4 linked regions of the Arabidopsis thaliana genome follow. The protein of the gene in region 4 interacts with the protein of the main gene of each other region in a pairwise test. Each region holds a gene or a part of one and is shown on either strand. Other genes may lie near its edges. The genes, in order: AT1G76520, ERD2, KCS1 and BTI2.

What was found.
Region 1: the proteins of BTI2 (region 4) and AT1G76520 interact in a two-hybrid assay, tested with the Arabidopsis thaliana proteins (one large-scale study listed by BioGRID).
Region 2: the proteins of BTI2 (region 4) and ERD2 interact in a two-hybrid assay, tested with the Arabidopsis thaliana proteins (one large-scale study listed by BioGRID).
Region 3: the proteins of BTI2 (region 4) and KCS1 interact in a two-hybrid assay, tested with the Arabidopsis thaliana proteins (one large-scale study listed by BioGRID).

Annotation. Positions count from the first base shown.
Region 1 is NC_003070.9:28,713,184-28,718,457, reverse strand, and holds AT1G76520 (Auxin efflux carrier family protein), read right to left. Parts: upstream 3,694-5,274; 5' UTR 3,075-3,693; coding exon 2,937-3,074; intron 2,830-2,936; coding exon 2,750-2,829; intron 2,676-2,749; coding exon 2,551-2,675; intron 2,461-2,550; coding exon 2,339-2,460; intron 2,249-2,338; coding exon 2,099-2,248; intron 2,026-2,098; coding exon 1,933-2,025; intron 1,840-1,932; coding exon 1,739-1,839; intron 1,619-1,738; coding exon 1,380-1,618; intron 1,294-1,379; coding exon 1,169-1,293; 3' UTR 548-1,168; downstream 1-547. Other genes in the region: AT1G76530 (Auxin efflux carrier family protein), read right to left, coding at 1-51. UniProt on the Arabidopsis thaliana protein: Involved in cellular auxin homeostasis by regulating auxin metabolism. Regulates intracellular auxin accumulation at the endoplasmic reticulum and thus auxin availability for nuclear auxin signaling.
Region 2 is NC_003070.9:10,257,710-10,263,157, reverse strand, and holds ERD2 (ER lumen protein retaining receptor family protein), read left to right. Parts: upstream 1-1,925; 5' UTR 1,926-2,251; coding exon 2,252-2,342; intron 2,343-2,349; exon of another isoform or gene 2,350-2,596; intron 2,597-2,741; coding exon 2,742-3,007; intron 3,008-3,714; coding exon 3,715-3,830; intron 3,831-4,229; coding exon 4,230-4,303; intron 4,304-4,389; coding exon 4,390-4,453; intron 4,454-4,541; coding exon 4,542-4,578; 3' UTR 4,579-4,910; downstream 4,911-5,448. Other genes in the region: AT1G29320 (Transducin/WD40 repeat-like superfamily protein), read right to left, coding at 4,920-5,254, 5,348-5,405. UniProt on the Arabidopsis thaliana protein: Required for the retention of luminal endoplasmic reticulum proteins. Determines the specificity of the luminal ER protein retention system. Also required for normal vesicular traffic through the Golgi. This receptor recognizes H-D-E-L.
Region 3 is NC_003070.9:56,626-61,213, forward strand, and holds KCS1 (3-ketoacyl-CoA synthase 1), read right to left. Parts: upstream 2,591-4,588; 5' UTR 2,354-2,590; coding exon 767-2,353; 3' UTR 539-766; downstream 1-538.
Region 4 is NC_003075.7:6,837,372-6,841,950, forward strand, and holds BTI2 (VIRB2-interacting protein 2), read right to left. Parts: upstream 2,666-4,579; 5' UTR 2,208-2,665; coding exon 1,955-2,207; intron 1,634-1,954; coding exon 1,453-1,633; intron 1,364-1,452; coding exon 1,222-1,363; intron 1,132-1,221; coding exon 1,062-1,131; intron 975-1,061; coding exon 805-974; 3' UTR 540-804; downstream 1-539. Other genes in the region: AT4G11230 (Riboflavin synthase-like superfamily protein), read right to left, coding at 3,420-3,529, 3,622-3,700, 3,786-3,914, 4,006-4,215, 4,298-4,457, 4,531-4,579.

The sequences.
Region 1 (5,274 bases), on a different chromosome or scaffold from region 4:
AGTCTCCACAACTGGTTTCGATGAAGCTATGAACAACTCCAAAAGCTTCATCTCTACTTCCAAAAGTTAGAATCTGCAAACTTAATCCATATATTACATGATTTGAGATAAAGAAACAATGAACCAAACGACGATAACTTATGGAGAAATCAAATGAAATGGTATAGTTACCTTTTTAGAGGAAGAGTGAAGGAGAGATATAGAGTAAGTATTATTTTTGTTCCGTATGAAAAAACCAACGTATCATAACCACCAACTCTTTATCTGAGAAAAAAAGAATACAAATTATAAGGGAACCATCGTCATGCCTTTAGTCACAGCGACTAGGAAACGTGCCATGTTACTTTGTGGTTCTTGCTGAAGATGTGGATATGTCGCATTGTGTTTACCGTATGGTAAAGAACAATAACGTTGATTTTAAAAAAACTTCTGTTGTTGTCATCTATTTTCTGAAGAATCGTTTCATAAACTAAAATGTTTCAGTACTATAATTTTTGTTTTTCCACAGTTTCACTAGCTACAAATTTATATATTACATATAGTATATCTTGGAGTCTAGCATGCACTTTAGCCCTGATGTGGAAGGTTATACATCAAAATCTCAAATATGACGTGATGAGACATTAATTGATCTTAGAGTACGATTAGGTTTGAGATACATGGACACAGATGTAAAGAAATTTATCACAAAATCCACCAATTAGAGCTTTTTGTCACCACTCTTTTCTCTCATCATTTGTACTCACTTGACTGATATGTAATAGTCTATTAAACCAAATGTAACAATCTGAAATTTTTCTCAGGTGTACCAAACTAAACAAAGGAATAGCTTTCTGCCATGGCCACAGTCACAAGTAGTCAAGTAGATTGTTCTCTGGTTTTACCCTGTTTCAAGAGAGAATGATTTGGGTATCATAACAGAGATTTTAAGCCTCACAATCTCTTGATGGATCCCAAGACAATGAGGATCAAAATAGCAGATTCTTGATGAGGCTGGACTTGATCTTCTATCTGTAAGTTACAGACTGTAAGTCCAAAGTTCGTATCAAAAGACTTATAAGTATATGTTCTCTATTATACTTGATCCAATCATCTGGAAGTCCAAGAACAATTCTTGAATCAATGGAACAAAACAATACATGTAACATGATGAGTATGGGGGTCTATTCTAAGCTACAAGCCACATGAAGAATGTTGGCCAAACAGTGAGTGCAATCGAAGCCAAAGAGTAAGTCCAGAGCATAATCACTGAGCATTCACTCTCCCCAGTTCCAAATAACTGAGTAATTGTACCTGCAAGAGTAAGTGAAACTAATGAAGTGATCTTATCTGAAAGAAGTAACTGTATTTTTTAAAGAGTTGGTTTCAGAGCAATGAACCTAGATTCATGGCTGGTGGGACAGCATATTGAAGAAGAAGAACGAATTGGTATAAGGGCTCTGATGTAACTAAATCCAACTTATATGCTCCTCTTACGATTAAAACACCGCTCATAGGCAGTAAAACGTAACGCGCAACCAAGACGCCGATAATACTGGACATTTTCATTCCTGAACTCCTCAAACCTTTGAGTAGGTTTCCTCCTATAATCATGGTCATTGCAGGAACTGCCCCATCTCTTCAGCCAAAAGAAACAAGACACATAAGAAGCTTTCGAATGAGTGAGTTACGTTTTTCCAAGAGATGATTCATTGTTGAGCTAATGCTAAGATAATGGTCTAATTTTAGCTGCAGTTACCCCACTAGAGTTACTGAGTCTTGAAGCACCCGGAGAGGAGCTTCCGTGCCGATTATTAGCTTCCTTAAAGGAGTAATGAGCCCGATCACAAGTGCAATCATCTGGAAACAGAAGAACAAAAAGGGTAATTAGAAAGATTACACTAGTGTGAGTGACGTCTCAAATGTATAAAACAGAGCCATTGAAACACAAACCGCAGCAATAGTTGATGGAGCAAAAATTGTCTTAAGGTTGACTTTTTGTGACAGTGAAACCAATCTCCGCTTGACTTTTTCCCACCTCCCAGCCTGTCATATACACACAGTCACTACCAACTTTGATAAATGAATAGTTACTGATCATGTGCATATGTGATGAAACCTTTTGGTTGTTTTCTTCTTCCTTGGAAGAAATAAGGGGAACTTTGTAGCTGTCGTAGTTGGATTCAACAGAGGGAGGGGTTTCAACGGGAGAGTTCGATAGCACACGCATAAGATTGTATACATAAGTCCATATGTAAATAGATCCCATCTGATACGTTACCAAGTACTGTCATGAGACATACTGATTACAAAACCTTGAAGAAGAAGAAGACAAAGAAGAAGAAGAAGAAGAACTTACAGCCATGGAGAGAGCAACATAACCCATTCCATATTTCTGGCAACTCTCAGGATCTCCAAAGGGACCTCCTTTTTCTTTACAAACAGCTGGGATTATAATCAGTGGCATATTCCCCAAATTCCCTGTTTTGTTTCATTCATTACCACAGTCATAAGCAAAACACAAGTTAAACAGATTCTGAAATCAGAAACATTCATGTTAAGGTTTGTTACCAGCAGCACAACAACCAAGAATGAGACCACGAAGGTGTGAAGGAGGCTTAGTGATGACAATAACAATCCAGCCAAGTAATGAACCAATGATGAATGTAAGCAGAACATTCACCGGCATGAACCACCTGCAAATCCTCATTTTCATTAACCAAAGAGCAAAGATTACAGACTCAAGATGCAAAATCTGAGATTGACTTACATTTTGACCAAGCTTTCGTATGTAACACTATCAGCTAAACGGCTTCCAATAAGCGAAGGACTAAACACATAGAAGACAATCTATATACACACACATCAAGAAAATGATAACAAAACAGAGACATATTAAAGTTGAATCATTTAGATTTATTAAAGAAAAGAGTAAAATTAAGTGATAATTAACTGACGTTGTTCAGATATTTACGAGCATCATGACCAAGAAGATTGACTCCATCGAGAGCCATATAAAATCCGACTGATGTTATCAACAGAATCTCAACGACTGGTTTTGATGAAGTTATGAACAGCTCCAAAAGCTTCACCATCTTTTTACTATCAACGCGAGAATCTGCAAGTATAAGTTAACTGTAGCAGAGGAAACAGAGAATCAATGGAGCTGCAAGAACCGCCGAAGAAAACAGAGCAATCCAAGAAGGGAATGAATTTTTTAACCGATTTAGAGGAAGAGAGAGATTTATCGTCAGTGGTACAGCTAGATGACAGTGAGAAGCCGCCGTATCAGAACTTTCTCACTCTCTCTCTATGAAAGAGAAAGAGCGTCTCCAAAATTTGGCCTAGTACAACACTTGCATGGTCGCCTCTTCATTCTATTTAAATTCTTGTCTATCCACAAAATGCTTTTTTCAAGAAACTAATCTCTTTATTTGGGGCAAACTTAGAAACTAATCTTTTTAACTAAGGTAAATTATTATTCTATGCATATGGGAAGAGAATTTCATATTTTCATCCTACATATTTTGTATGTACAACTTGGTGTCCGCATGATCCGGGTCAGACTTTTACATCTTCTTTGTTTTTGGAATTGTTTTGTTCCGTATAAGCAACAAAATAACGTATCATAGATTCATAGTTAGCTCCTTTTTGAATTCCAACTTTCACAACTTATGAGTTATGATATATCTCGTAAGTTTATGTCCTTTGATTTTGTATATTTTCCAATTTTTTGTAACCTAGTTTATGTACAAAAAGAAAGAGGAAACAGTTCCACAATTTTTGGAAAACTCAACTCAAGCGGGGTCTTTGTTTGTTTCGTATATTGTCGTATAACACTATTGAGAATAATAAGGCTTTATCTGAGAAGACGAATTTATATGGTAACCGTCGTCATGCCTTTCGTCACATCGACTACGAAACGTGCCCCATGTTTTTTTCTGGTTCTTGCCCAAGGTGTGGAGATATTGCAAAGTGTTCATCGATTGTTGAAGATTTATTATTTATTTTATTTTATATATTTTTTTAAAAAAAACATTTTTCTTTTTGTCATCTATTTTTAAGGGGAATTGTTATAAAAATGTACATTTTCATATGCGTCGTAAGAAATTTGAAATGGAAACAAAACTGAATGAGAATAAGATAATAGTGTGGTGGCTTAAATTAATTGTGTGATGGAAGCGTACCAACGAAACGATCGAATATTAATGATAACGGAAAATTCAAATTAGTGTGTGAGGCTGCGACCAGTGTCCGTCCATAAAATTCAATGCAAGATATAAATGTAACAACCCCAATATCAAAATAGTCGACTAATTCTTACCAAAAAAAAACAATTAGCGAATAATTAGAATTATCATACAGTGCTAAAAATATGTATATATATATATACGAGATACAAATATTTAAGTATATATTGTCAAAGTGCAAATTTTAGTGATTTATTAATGAAAAATACACAATAGACTGGATAATTGTAGAAGTGGGATATATTATACACACTACAATAAAAATCTCTTATGTGACTCGAATCCTATAACTCTTCTCATGTGAAGCAAGAGATATTAGACCATCCTTAATTCCTTATATGTAAGCTTATTGTATATGCAACAAGCCTAATGAAGGCCATGTCATGAGCTATCTTCTTATTTATCTATCTTATTAGAGCATGAATAAACTTGTTTGTATAGGATTTCTACTCACACAAGAGACTTGTGAATATGTATTTTTAAAGAGGTTAATTAACAGTATTTGATATTTCTATGATCTCATAGCTATGAATATGATGATTCAAAGAACGTGAACAAAAGATATCTGTAACAAAAAGAAAAGGACAAAGATATGTCAAATTGAAATGCTCCACTCGTTTTAATGTCCGTGAATGAAAATAACAAACTTGACATATATTGAAAATCTTGATTTGTACTATTGGAAATGTGGGGCATCAAAGACTATTATTCCCTAAAAATAATGGTCCTTAATTCATTAGAATTTTGGACAAAAAGCTTTGCTTAATTCTGTACCATTTTGCTTCGAATGAATATGCTCATACTATTTGTTATCCTTTGGATCCACACCAATTCATTAAATTGCAATTATTTGTCACTTTGACAAGTACTATACCTACATACTGAGAAAATCATCATCACCATAATTGTAAAGTTAATCACGTTAATTATATGCTAGCTAGTCTATAATTAAAGATTCAAACACTATATTTTTTTGGTACAACAAAAACTCTATATTGAACATGAACGCACAATGCTTCGATATTTCTTTCTCTATCTTTAGTAA
Region 2 (5,448 bases), on a different chromosome or scaffold from region 4:
TTTTCTTATTGCCATTTTTTCGATTATTAGTGTTTTGTATGTTAAACTTGCCGATTGTTCCAATTACTATAATATAACAAAAACAAGTTTTAGCTATCGATTTTTCCAAAGTTTTACAACGAAGTTTTTATAAGTTAACATGAAGTAATAATAGTATATGTTTTAAAATTATACGTTTTTTTGTATGAAATTAAATGTTACATTACACTATTAAAGATTCCAATAATTAAAACACATGTTACAATGAGTAAATTTTATTATCAGACAATAAACATCTCTTTGCTCTAAGAAGAAACCTATGCTAGTGAAGCGTTGACTCTGGAAAGATGCAAGTGCAACGTGTCGCTGAAACATTGAAGGCGCGTGTAGAAAAATGTTAAGCTAAAGGGAAGTTCACTTTCTTTAACCAAGTTTTGCGTTTTGCAAATTACAACTAAAGAATCCACTAAAGCTAACCCAACTAAATTCAAACATTTTTCTATGTGATCAGTTTACCATCAAACTATTTCATATTTTTGCAATGTGTAGTAAAAACTTTCTTTGTTACATTATATGCTTCTTTTATAAGCAAAAATACCATATTACATTACATGTTCATTTCATTTTTGTTTGGTATTTGCGCTTACAATTTACAAAATGATTTTGTTTGATACTATTTACATTTACATGTGAAATTATTGTGTTCATCGTAAAACGTTCAAAATTTCTAAAAATTGTAAGAAATTATTGTAAATGTAAACAAAGTCGGTTTCCTATAAAACCACACGTCTGAACCACCTTAATCATCATCACAACATGAAATTACAAAAGCAGCGACTTTGTCGATTGCCGTAGTTTCATTGTAGCATAGATAATCCCGTCACGTGATGTTATCTATTTTTAACTGTTTCAATGTAGTCAGAAAAGCTATTTGTTTGATTTCAGAACTGTTTGATTAGTGGCCATTGAAAAATTCTATAATCTATAGTCAATAGTCTATACACAATTGAAAATGGTATAGTTGATTTTTTAAAATACGCCATTAAATAAAATTATATATAGAACTTCTCTATAATCGATAAAGTCGAACACTCCAGGCAACAAGCGGACCGACCACGGAGTCTAACGTAAGAGTATTATTAGTGATACTGTAGGTTTTCTTTGACTAACGATAAAGAAAAAACAAACATGTTTAATTTCTCGTGTCCTCTATATTCATGAGTCATGACGTTCATACAATTTATTCTTGTTTTAAATGACGTTCATACATCATTTTCATGGTTGTCTATTAGTTCACTAGAAAAACGAAGTCTTGAACGTTGAAGCGAAGCATTGAATATCATTTTATAATTTTATGGACTAAACTATACATTTCAATCATCTTTGCAAAAAAGAAAAAAAAAAATGAGTTAGATCATAAGGAGTCAGGACAACAGCTAGCACAAAAATCTCAAAATCCTATACTGTTTAACCCAAAACAACCGTAGAACAAATATTATTATACACCCAAAAAAAAAAACATATTTGCAATCACATTAGTTTGTAAACACTTCTATTTCGTTCCATAACCAAAAAAAAAAAAAAAAAAAAATCAACATTCAATTTTTTATTTTAAAACATGTTTGCATATGTTCATGGTATGACATTGGGTATTAATCTATCACAGAGAGCTAAAGCCCATATAAATAATAACAGAAGGCCCATATCTATTAATAACCAACTCTTAACCGGTCCATTCTAACTGTTTTTCTCAAATACAAAACACGTGGATAACACGAGGAATTAAAATTGAAGTTAAACACCACACCATGTCGCGTACGAAGCTGCCACATCACTGTTCTATTAACACGTGGCTTAATATGATGCAATATAGACCCACCGATAGCTGGCGCTTTCTAGTTTACCAAGGTGCGACGTACCAGATAACACCACCTCTCCACTTTTGAAAATTAAAACGCTCTCTTTTGGTAATTATTTAGGGAAACTTCGATAATTAATCGAATAATGAAGGACTAATTTGCAGTTTTAAGGAAATAAGTAAGCACACACGTTAGAGAAGAAAGACCGTTCCAGATTGCCACGTCATCGTCTCCTCTCAACGAGTTTCTGCAAAACCTGAAACGTGCTGCACCTTGCCTCTCTTTCTCTCTCTTCCTTCGTTTCTCTCTCGATTTGAAGAGAGAAAATTCGTTCGATTTCGTTTTCTCTTCTTCTTTTGGATTTTCCCGGAAAATTTTGGAATCGGTGAGTCTCTATCGATTACTGGTCAACCATGAATATCTTTAGATTTGCTGGCGATATGAGTCACTTGATCAGTGTCTTAATCCTTCTTCTCAAAATCTACGCGACGAAATCTTGCGCTGGTGAGTTCTCTCTCTCTCTCTCTCTTTCATGAAATGTGTTGTGTATATTTTGAAGACGAGCTCGTAGACGAAACAATCGCATTTTGCTTTGACCTTTTGTTTTCCTTTCCATAGCTTTCAAATGCAATCTTATTTGAATCCTGTTGAGGTCTATTTATCGATTTCGAGGCGAATCCGAGTTGGTAGATTGAAATTGCAAGTCAAAATAGTTGTGAAATCTCAATCTTCGAAACCACTATGGAATTTCTAAACGAGTGAGATCTCTCACCCCTAAATTGCATTAGGTTTAACGGAAAATTGCTACACGGAATGGAAAATGCTTGTAGATGCTCATGATTTTCTCATAGATTGTGCAGCTCCTAACATTGTTGCTGTTGACTTTTGGATTTTGTTGGCTAGGAATCTCTCTCAAGACTCAAGAGCTCTATGCGCTTGTGTTCTTGACTCGGTACTTGGATCTGTTTACGGATTATGTATCTCTGTACAACAGCATCATGAAGATTGTCTTCATTGCCAGCTCTTTGGCTATCGTTTGGTGTATGCGTAGGCATCCACTTGTGAGGAGGTCATACGATAAGGACCTGGACACATTTCGTCATCAGTATGTTGTGTTAGCGTGTTTTGTACTGGGACTTATCCTGAATGAAAAATTCACAGTTCAAGAGGTATTTTCATATGAATTTCACATTGCTTTTGTGTTTTTAGGTTGTAGAGACTAGGAAAGCGAATACTTGTTGTTAGAAGACATGCATATGTTGTGTAATCTTGTTTTTGGTTTATTTATTCATTTGATTCATTCGGTTCCTTCTTCTTATATCATTTGGATTTGGTAACTATCTTGGCTAGTGTAGAATAGAATATCGTCTATGTAAATGAAACTGAACATAACTCCTTCCAGAACCAATTAGGAGTCCGGCGTTTATAGTTTTATTTTTGCTTGTTTAAACGTTGTACTACCTATGTAGCCTCTCACTCGCTGATTGTTTTGAGAAACTCTTTGAATATCAAACTGTTGCATCGTGAAAGGTTTGTTTGCTTCCATTCATGGAATCTTCTGTGTCCTACCTACCTATGTTCCATAAGGTGCCCCATGGATTAGTGTCATCTGTATCTCGCTGTTACTTTTCTGGCCATTGTGTTCTTTGATTATCTTGTCATAAGAAACTGTAGTGACTCCTTATATGCACTTCACTAAGATCGTTTTCCCTTACTACCTTCATATGTATTTTTCCAGTATATGCTCTTGGTAAAGATCTGATCTTTGCAAACTGCCTTCACTCTTTAAGTATTTTTGCAGCATTGTGGCCTCTCTGTGTTGATAGCCAGAATCATTGTGCAATATGTTAATTCTGTGCATTCCAAACCATTTCAGGTGTTCTGGGCGTTTTCTATCTACTTAGAGGCAGTTGCTATCCTTCCCCAGTTGGTTCTGCTACAAAGAAGTGGGAATGTCGACAATTTGACTGGGCAATATGTTGTCTTTCTCGGGTACGTAATTCTAACCAGACATATGCGTTTGCTCACTTGATCTCCACTGGCTTCTCTGTTGGGTTTGTTTTTAGAATTGGTTTATCTTATATATATACTGTGTCTTTCACTGCTCATGCACTTGTTAACTTGATCAATGAGAATCGCTCTCCAGTGTCATTGTGGTGTTTAAAAATCAGTGCATATTTCTAAAGTCCAGACATTGTTTTCCGTTTAATGTTAATGCGTCTGGAAGCTGAGCTGAACTATATTTTTTTCTATAAAGGAAATCAGACTGCTTTACATCTTGCTATGCATTTGGTTCTGATGCATACCTTTGTGTCCAGTGCACAATATTTCAATGTGCAAAATTGAGTAAGTATTCTGTATGCACTCACATGGGCAATGATTAACATGCAGGGCGTATCGGGGACTCTATATTATCAACTGGATCTATCGCTATTTCACAGAAGATCATTTCACTAGATGGATTGGTAATGTTTCAACAAAGAAGCACTAAATGCATTTTAACCATTTGTTTTTCCTCAATGCTAATGTTTTACGTAAATCCATTTTCCAGCTTGTGTGTCTGGTCTTGTCCAAACAGCTCTCTATGCGGATTTCTTCTACTACTACTACATAAGGTAAAGTAACCTCACCAGTCTGAATAATATTCTCTTTATAGTTACTGATCATGTTACTGACTTTGGATCCTTTTTGATTTTGTTGTAGCTGGAAAACCAACACCAAACTTAAGCTTCCGGCTTGAAAAGAACCCGAATTTTTTTGCAATAGTATCAAAATCCAGGAAGTTACAGCAATGGTGACATTAGAAAAGAAAGACATGGTTAACATTTGGGTCCTCCCTCTTTCTAACAATGAGTTGAAAATTGAATGATGCAGGATTGTTGTTTAAAATGTGTTTTTTTTTTAGTCTTTAATGCACATTGTAACTTTCCCGACGATTTTAGACATTGAGAAGAGGCATCGTTTTATCAAAACTAGTCTTTATAGATAACACACAAACTCTGTTTCTTTTGTGCGAGTGTTTAGTTCAAAACTGTAGCTCAGATCAGAGCCAAGTTAACAATGTGTCTTCAAAACTTAAACCTAGTCTTCTTGATTGTGTTTCACTATCTTGGTCTTCTTCTTGTGCTCTCGTGTCTTCTTGCTTCTTAGCTCGTCTTTCTCTTCACCTTCAGAGACTTTTTCTCTACTGCGTTTCTCTTTCTTTGACTTTTTTGTTTTGACCGGAGCCTTCTCAATCTCGTCTTCATTCTCCTCATCGTCTTCACCCTCAAAGACTATTTCTCTACTGCGTTTCTCTTTCTTTGACTTCTTTCTTTTCACAGGAGCCTTCTCTGTTTCATCATCTTCCTGGTCCATGATCGTCATCTTCTCCTCTGTGGCAGCCTCAGCCACTGTGTTTGCTACAGCTGTCTCTGCTTCAACCATGAATCCAATCATTTTACAAACATACTAACAGAGGAATACAAACATAGATGCGATTTGTGAACGGCATTAGAAAACAAACAAACCTTCTCCAGAAAAGCCCGAGTCGAATACAAGACCTGTAAGATGCTGCTTCAAGAAAACCTGCAATAAAACAATGATATATAAGTAAGACTCAACTTCACCA
Region 3 (4,588 bases), on a different chromosome or scaffold from region 4:
GTTTTTTGCATTTTTGGTTGTTATATGTTGGCAGCATGCAGCAGCCAACGAGTTATGTGTAGATGCTGGTTCAACCAACTCGACCTATATGGGTTATAGTTATACGAGTTGTTGACCGAATTTATGGTTCAAGACTTTCAAGAACCAAGAGAAATTGTAATGGAATTGTTTGTATATATTCTTTTATTCTTTAAATTGACTTTTTTTCATCACAGATTCTCTAATTGACTCTCTTCGTTACTTTTACAAAGGTACCAGAAGAAAAAAAACATTTTATAATATGAGGTCGAAATATAACATTTTATAATGGTGAAACCTTCAGAAGATGAAAAATTCAAAATAAAAACCTATGGAACAGTAGTGGATAACGTTTGGTCCAAAAAAAAATCAAATTGTTGAATGAATGAATAAATCTACACCACAAATTCGCAGAAAAATAAAAATAAAAAGGTGTATATCATAAATTAATTGGAGCCAGCGTAGACTATATAGTATTTGTTAGTATGCAAGGTTTGCTTTATCATTTATGGGTGTGTCATTCATTCATGTGTGTGAACGCAGACATAGTGGATTAGAATTTTGTTTGACTTGAGTTAAATTTTCAAATTCTGGTTTACCAAAAGTATGAATAATCAACTAACGTATACCAAACACACATCCATAAATTAATTAAATTATATGATTTTCAATCGACAACTTACATCAACAATTAAAAAATAAAATCAAGAAGAACACAATTACATATATGATTATCCGGTTCAACCAATCATTGCACAACTTTAACCGGATATTGATCAATCGAACCAGCCCAAGCATTACCGGTCATCTCCTCCGTCGAAACCGGTCGTAACGCTTTCCAAACCGCACTATTACACTTGAAACCCGATCCAAACGCAATCTGCCAAAGTCGGTCACCAGCTTTAACCCGACCCTTAGCTTCGGTATAAGCCATCTCATACCAAAGCGAGCTACTCGAAGTGTTACCAAATCTGTGCAAAGTCATTCTAGAAGGTTCCATGTGCCAATCTTTGAGATCAAGATTCTTCTGCACTTCGTCTAGAACCGCTCTACCTCCTGCGTGAATACAGAAATGCTCGAAAGCTAGCTTGAAATCCGGAATATACGGTTTAACTTTTAACTTGAACATCTTCCTTTTGACCAAGGAAATCAAGAACATCAACTGCTCTGACAATGGAAGAACCATCGGTCCTAAAGTCGTGATGTTTGTTTTCAGAGCGTCTCCGGCGACAGACATGAGCTCTCTAGCTAAAGAGACACCGATTGTTCCTCTCTCGTCTTCCTTCTGGTACACGCAATTGTAGTTCTTGTCGTCTGATCCTTTATGTGTTCGAACGACGTTGACCAGCGAGTACTTTGACTTCTTCCGGTCTTGACGGCGGTTAGAGAGGAGAATCGCAGCTCCGCCCATTCGGAAGATGCAGTTGCAGAGGAGCATTGACCGGTCATTTCCGAAGTACCAGTTTAGGGTTATGTTTTCCGTGCTTACCACGACAGCGTAAGAATTAGGGTTTGCTTTGAGGAGATTGTTAGCGAGATCGATTGAGATTAATCCGGCGGAGCAACCCATTCCTCCGAGGTTGTAACTTTTGATGTCTTCTCTCATCTTGTAATGGTTCACGATCATCGCTGATAGAGACGGCGTCGGATTGAATAAGCTGCAGTTTACTATCAAGATTCCGACTTCGGCCGGTTTAATTCCGGTTTTCTCGAAGAGGGAATCTAAGGCTCCAAACATAACGGCTTCAGCTTCGGCACGTGCCTCTGACATATTTAGCTTCGGGGGCGTTGAAGTTATGCCACGTGGCAGATACGTCTCGTCTCCCAAACCGGCCCGGTTCGAGATTCTTTGCTGGAACTGAACCGTGTCATCGGTGAATGATCCATTTTCCTCAGTCATCGTCAAGAACGAATCTACTGATATTTTACGCTCGTCTTCCGGTTTGTAGCAGGAGAAATCCACTAGGTAAACCGGTTTAGACCGGTTAGCCACGTAGAGGGTCAAAACGAAGGAGAGGAAAACCAAGCAGGTAAGTCTCGTCGCCGTGTCGAGTTGAACCGCCTGGTTAGACCAAAGCTCAGAGAACGTATCGAACGTTAGACCGGTTAGCTGAACCAGCACGGTTCCGGTTAAAGGAAGAATAATTAAGAAGAAGAGAATGGTGGTCACGTTGCAAGAGTTGTGAAGTCCAAGCTTCACGTATTTGAGCTTAACGGACGTTAATAAATCCGGCAAACGTCTTCGAATTCTTATAACGGCCGATGATGAATCTCGAAACGCCATCTCCGCCGTTAATCTCTCTCGATCCATCTCAATGCTGTTTGTTCTCTCCATCAGTATAGTTTTGGGTCGAAATATTTCAAACGTAAATCAAGGAAGGATTGAAGATAAAATGTAAAATCTTTAGGCAAATTTGGAGAAATAGAAAGAGAGAGAAAATGAGAATGGGAATTCTAAAATTGGTGAATTAGGAGGATTTTGGTGAAATGAGGGCAAGTAGGGATGGAGAGATATATAGAGTGCAAGAAAGATAAAAATATTTTAAAGATTAATAATAGTAATGACTTAACAAAAAAAAAAAAAAGATGGAATAATATTCGAATTTAATGATGGGTGGTTCCGAGATAATACTATTAGCTCAACTACTTATATGGGACCTTGATATTAAATTAAGTAGTCAGATTATTTTTCATGTTTTGTTCACACGAAATGCAAGTTACAAAAGTCTAACAAAACCTAGCTGAATCTCATAAGTCATATGGTAGATCATAAATTTGGTTTATCTTTTTTTTCACACATATATTTGGGCATCATAACATTCTATTTTGGTGTAACCTAATTTTTTTTTTTTTTGAAGTTTTTGATAAACAACATAACTTGTTAATTATACCACTACAACACAACAAAATATGACATGTTTGTTATATATTTCCTTATAATTAAACTTAAACGTTTTAGACATCCATGATGTTTTTATTAGCAAGTGTATGTAGGTTATCCAAAATTGAGTGAGGGCAAGTTATAAAATTATATATCAATTGAATATTATAAGCAGGTTGGCTGCACGTAGTGCAAATGCACTGGGTCAGCGACGGGTAAGTTGATATAATATGTTGTAAATAGTAAATTTAAAGGGAGAACGTGTTCGAGAAACGTACCTCTCATTCATGAGAAGCGTTCACTGTCCAAATTGCAAGAACAAGGGTAGACGAAAGCGTGTCCCAAATATTCAAATTTGTTATTTCTTTGTATAAATGTGTATCCCACATGCATACAAACTCCTTAATATGGGCCATGGTAAATTGATGATAATGAATTACTATGACTTCTTAATAGCAGCACATTTCGATTTGTTTCTCCATTATATACCATCCCTATTAGCTGTTCCAGTATTGTAGTCATTGTCATTTATAAATTTGCTGTCTTCGTTAAGACGTTTGTTATATAAGGGACCCTTTACATAATGAATTTATTTCATATTATAAATCTGATAAAGAAGTAATTAGTTTTGGAGTTGCATATCTAGTTAGTTTTCGAGTATTTTTCTAGTTATTTCATATTGATTGTGCCAAGGTGTCCAAAATAGACCTCGGACGGGTAGTTGTAGCTTGTAGCTTTGTAGGTAAATAAAATGTTCGGATTTGAGGTCCCAAAGTGGACTTATTGTCCCTGTTTTGTTTTCATTGGGATAAAGTTGTTGGTAAAATGTAATGCTTTTAATAGTTAAATCATTTCTAATATCGTGATTACTGGGAAATAATAGAGAAAAAGAAAACAAAGACAAAAGGCAGCGACGTCGTTTCCATAATATCGTGATTACTGCATGAAACACATGTTTCAACAGTACGCATACCAACTCTCAAACTTCAATATTGGAAAGATCCAGTTCATCAGATGCTAATAATTCATATATTTAGGTTTATGTACAGCATAATGAACAATAGAGAGAATTAATCAATAAACAGATCAAAGTATTAATTTGCAAGATAAATGAAATAATGATGATAATAAATGGTAGACTAGTACCCATGTGTAGACATAAACCAACAATTAATGTTGGTCGGCTTAATACCAACTAACTAGAAACCAGTCCGTCATCAATGTATGAATGTACACACTCACATCTTGCAATAATTTTAAAAAGGACTAACAATTTAAATGGTTGCTACATAAATAAACGATATAGCCTTACATAAAACTAGCGAAAAAGGTTGATATTGGCTGTATAACATGCACAGTACTACCAGGCTCTAACATGCTTCAAAATACCGAATGATTCATTAAATTGAAACATTAGAGTAAACATTTTGTCGTGGTCTTGTATTTGAATTTCAGTATATAACTGTATATAATACAATATTATTGATTTTAATGGTTTTTCAAACAATTTTTTTTTTTAATTACTCGAATTTTTTCTTAATCTCGAATAAGAAAGATTAATGCTAATATATGGAATTATAAATATTTGGTCACGATTAATCCGAATCCAACTACGAATTCGATATTGAAAATGTCAATATCATCATATCACCAGATAAATAAATTCTGTCAATTGTTTCTGTTGCCAAA
Region 4 (4,579 bases):
GATTCACCATTTGATACAAATTGATCTTAAGCGTTTTAACTTTTAACTAGTTACTTATTTAGCTGATTGTTACCTGAGAAACATAAGACCGTTTAAGAAAAAACAAAAACATGGTTAAATGAGAAAACATAGTATAAAGGAAAGAAAAAAGAAGGTAATTATAATTTAAAATTAACAAAAATATAAATTGTCAGCAGTGGGGTTTGAACCCACGCCCTCGTAAGAGGACCAGAACTTAAGTCTGGCGCCTTAGACCACTCGGCCATACTGACATTTGTTAATATTCATACTTATTACATATATATAACCAGTAAATATACAAACATGTTATATTTTTATTTTTTGGACAAATAAAGTAACAAACACTTAAAAAATGAGCTCAGAGAAAATAAAAATCTAAATTGTCAGAAGTGGGGTTTGAACCCACGCCCTCTTACGAGGACCAGAACTTGAGTCTGGCGCCTTAGACCACTCGGCCATCCTGACTTGTTTGATATCAAGACATACTACAAATATATAATCGAGAAAAAACGATATTTGAGTAACGTACCATATTAGAAACACAGAAATCAATCAGTACATTAAAAATATAGATCAAGAGAACGACTACAATCATTGTGCTAATGCCACAAACCACTCCAAAAACAAAGCAAAGTTGTCAAGTAAAATTTGGGTTGAGATCTAACACATAACCTTTTAGATTACCAATTCACAACACAACACAACCCACGTGTATAAAAACCAGAGCATTGTGCACATTGCACTCCAAAGAAAACCCACACAAAACAAAAACCCCAAAAAAAACTAATCCTTCTTCTTGTCTTTCAACGGTCCTCTTGGGATTTTGCTGAATACCTTTGCGTCCAACACAGCGTATTGCTTCTTCAACTCAGCCATTGCTTTCTCACCGTATGAGTCTACTTTGTCTTCGTACTTGTCGTAGAAAAGAGGAACAGTGAAGAGCAGAACCAGAGCTGGACCAAATCAATAACCGTTCATCAGCAATGTCAGAATAAGAGAGAAGGCAGAAGCAAAATACTTTTAGCAACAGTAAGTGTTACCTATGTATGCCAATGTCAAGAAACTATAGCAGCCGCCCAAGATCGATAGAACCCACAATCCGGCAATAGCCTAATTCAATCAAACAGTACAATAAGTGTCAAACTTAAGTGAGACATCGAGAGAGGAGTAACGAGTAAGTCCAGGACAGTTTAAACATACAGAGAGGAACTTCTTGATATCCCTCCCCGACGCAATCTCACGAAGAGAAGAGATCCCACGGTTGATTTCGATTCTAAGACCCGAAGCAAGCTGAAGAAGAGGTTCTTCAGGGATATGAACTTCAGGAATCTTTGGTGGAGACCTGAAAGAGAATGAAAATTTGGTAACGAAGATGAGTCAAATAAGCTTGACAACCTTGACCTGTTTCATATGATTGACCACAAAACTTACTTGTGAATGAACATAGTGGCATTAGACCATAGAAACAACACAGCAAGAGCAACGATCATAACGTGACATAACAGAGTAAGAAGATGATACTCCATCAATTCAAATAGCACCCATGCCACTGTAGCACCGCCAAATACACCTCCTGACATTTTCTTGTCCTTCCACATAAATATATCTGCCGCTGCAATTAAAAAGATCACCAAATTAGGGTTTATCAATCACGAAATAAGAACCATATCATCAATAACTACAAGAATCTCACAAGATCATTATACACATTTCCAAAAAAAAAAAAATCAATTCCATCACAAATTCTCTCAAACTAGTCAGAAATCAAAATCGAAATCGAATTCAAATCAATGTAAACCTCTATGTAGATTCAAACGATCTTCTTCACGGATCCCTTAAACTAGTGAGAAAATCAAACAGATCAAGCCAACGCAAACGAATTCGTTTTAAAAAACTGAGAACAAATATCGAAACGGGATCAGAGTAAACATACGTTTTCCGCCGCCGAGAACCTTATGAACAGGTCTCTCTCTTCCGAACAAACGATAAACCTTCGATTTCAAAGACTTTGGAGACGATGACGAAGACTTCTTCTCGTTTTCGTCATCTGATGATGATGAAGACGACGAATCACCTTTGTGATGGATCTTCTCCGATAACTTCTCCATCAACGATTCCCTCTCTACAACCTCCACTGCTGGATCCAAATTAGGTGAAGATTCTTCATGCTTATGTTCATCCGCCATTGTTTCCGATTCAAGAGAAGAAGAAGAACGATCAAAGTTATTGTTCTAGCGTTTTCGTTACACCTCTGAGAAGAAAGATCTCGAAGTCGAATGAAAAAACCAACAATAAAAGGAGGAAAATTAGAATAAATCTGAGCCGTTGAATATTTTGTTTCTGATCTGATCCGTTGGTTGGTTCGGATCCAAACCTGCTGCTTCCTTAACTAGAGCGATGCTTAGGAAAAGATAAATGTCGTGGGGACATATAAAAAGTGTTTTCACAGGACCGAGATGTTAACGCTGTTAAGGATAACGGCTTTTTAAGTCACGTGTAATTAACGGCTCTGTTATTAAAATGGCTATTAAACTTTTCTGGTTCAGGTGTCACGCGGCTGGACAAAGAAACGGTCGAACCGGTGGTCATGTGACACGTGGTTGAATCGTAGCCGCTTGCTTATGTGACTCATGTACTTTCGGTCTGCATTCAAAAGACAATGATAATTTAATTATCTTGACACTAAATTAAAATAATATTTTGCTGCTGGCCAAAAAACTAGAAAATAAAAATATTAGAGAAGTAGGAACCGTCTCTTGGTTAAAAGAAGTGTTTAAAAAAGAATGCTCTAGAAAGTGAAAAAGCATTTAACTTGACAGCGTTAGCTCGAGTCGTAATATGGGCCCAATGAGCTAAAACAATGATGAAGCCCAGTTACTTTCTCATGTCCAAGAAAGCAAATATGATTCAAAACCGAAACCATGATTCTAAACCGGTCAAGAACCAAGGAACAGTGAAATTTTTGAGGCTTTTGAGTCAGTTCGGGTTTAAAAAGACCCTTTTCCCCAGCTTTCTTCATTCATTTTCAAGTTGATAACCAAATGGGCCAAACTAGTTATCGGCCCATAATAATAAGAGAGCTCAAAGACAGGCCCAATAATAAGTGCTCAAATTTGAAAACAATTGAACAGACAGAACCAATCATCCCAATGATCCCATCATCCCCCTTTGTTTGAATTTCTCATTTTTACTCCTTTACACTCTTTTTTTCTTCACAAGCTTTAACTGTGACTTTTTACATTTTTTAACAGTCCTACTCTAGATGAAATGGTTAAAAGTTGGTATTTGTGATACACAAAACGAAAAGAAAACACAACAAGTAGGATACGAGAACGAACATGAACATTGATTCATTCATTCAAAAAACCATAATCGTGGGGGATTAATCCTTTTACCAGTTAGAACTGTTCTTTGTGGAAATCGAACCTGGTAATTCCCGTCTGGTTAAATTCATGGCAGAGTGTTGAAAGTTCCTTCCCCAAACTTGGAACTCCACAATAGAACACTCCTGTAACAAACAAAAAAACATTCTTCAGACAAGGCAAATATACACCGCGATATCGAATATCATTTCAGTGAACTGATGTTTCTGTGTGTTACCAATTCTTGCGTTCCTATGTTTGGTGCTAATCTTTGATAAAACTTTCTTCCATTTTGGCCTCCCAAAATGTGTCCTTACCTAAAATAACCAAAAGTTGTTATACAAGATCAGAAAAGAGTGTTGTTTGTGATAAAGTAATCAACTAATCATTAAAGATCATTACCTTGGTTCCTGAAAAAATGTCGACGCCATTTTTGGCATGGTTTAACGTTTGGATCATAGTGAGAAGATTGGATCGAGTATCTCCTTCTTCGTAGACGCTAGTCAAGTAGTTGTGCATCTCAATAACACCCTTGTAGTTGTTCACAAGACAAATACGTCAGTGAGTAACTTGAAATCATACAATCTTTTGAATTTAAAATGAATAAGTGTATTGTTTTTACCTTTCTATCTGAATCAGCAATCTCGTTCATGATTTCTTTGAACCAATCGAACGAGCCTTGTTCTCGTGTTACCCAGTAAAAGTAAGCATTCTTGGTATTCAGCGTCTTCCGTTGAGTTTGCGGAATCCGACTCGCAGCTTCTGAGTTTAAGCAACTGAAACTGTGATCCGACGAGATGTTGCTGTTACTACAACTACCTGAGATGCATTCCTGAGAATATAACATAACTCCAAAAAAGTTTAGTTGAGATTCTGTTACTCATCAACAAGGTTTTTAAGCTTGTTATACTCACAGCTTGTTCCTGTTGCTTAATAATGTTATTGAGTAGATCTCTCAAAATGCTAACGAAAGGTGTTGCGCCGATTCCAAGGCCAACCAGTAATACCACATCATACTTCCAATGGTCTTGCGCTGGAGCGCCATAAGGTCCATCTATCAACAGCTCTGGAAAACTATATTACAAGAGAGAGTATCAAAATTCACATTCTGAGAATAATATATTGAATTTTAAAGAATTTTATGCACCTTCTTTGGTTTGGTACATCTGCTCTGAGAAGTCCGCTTTTTCCAGCTT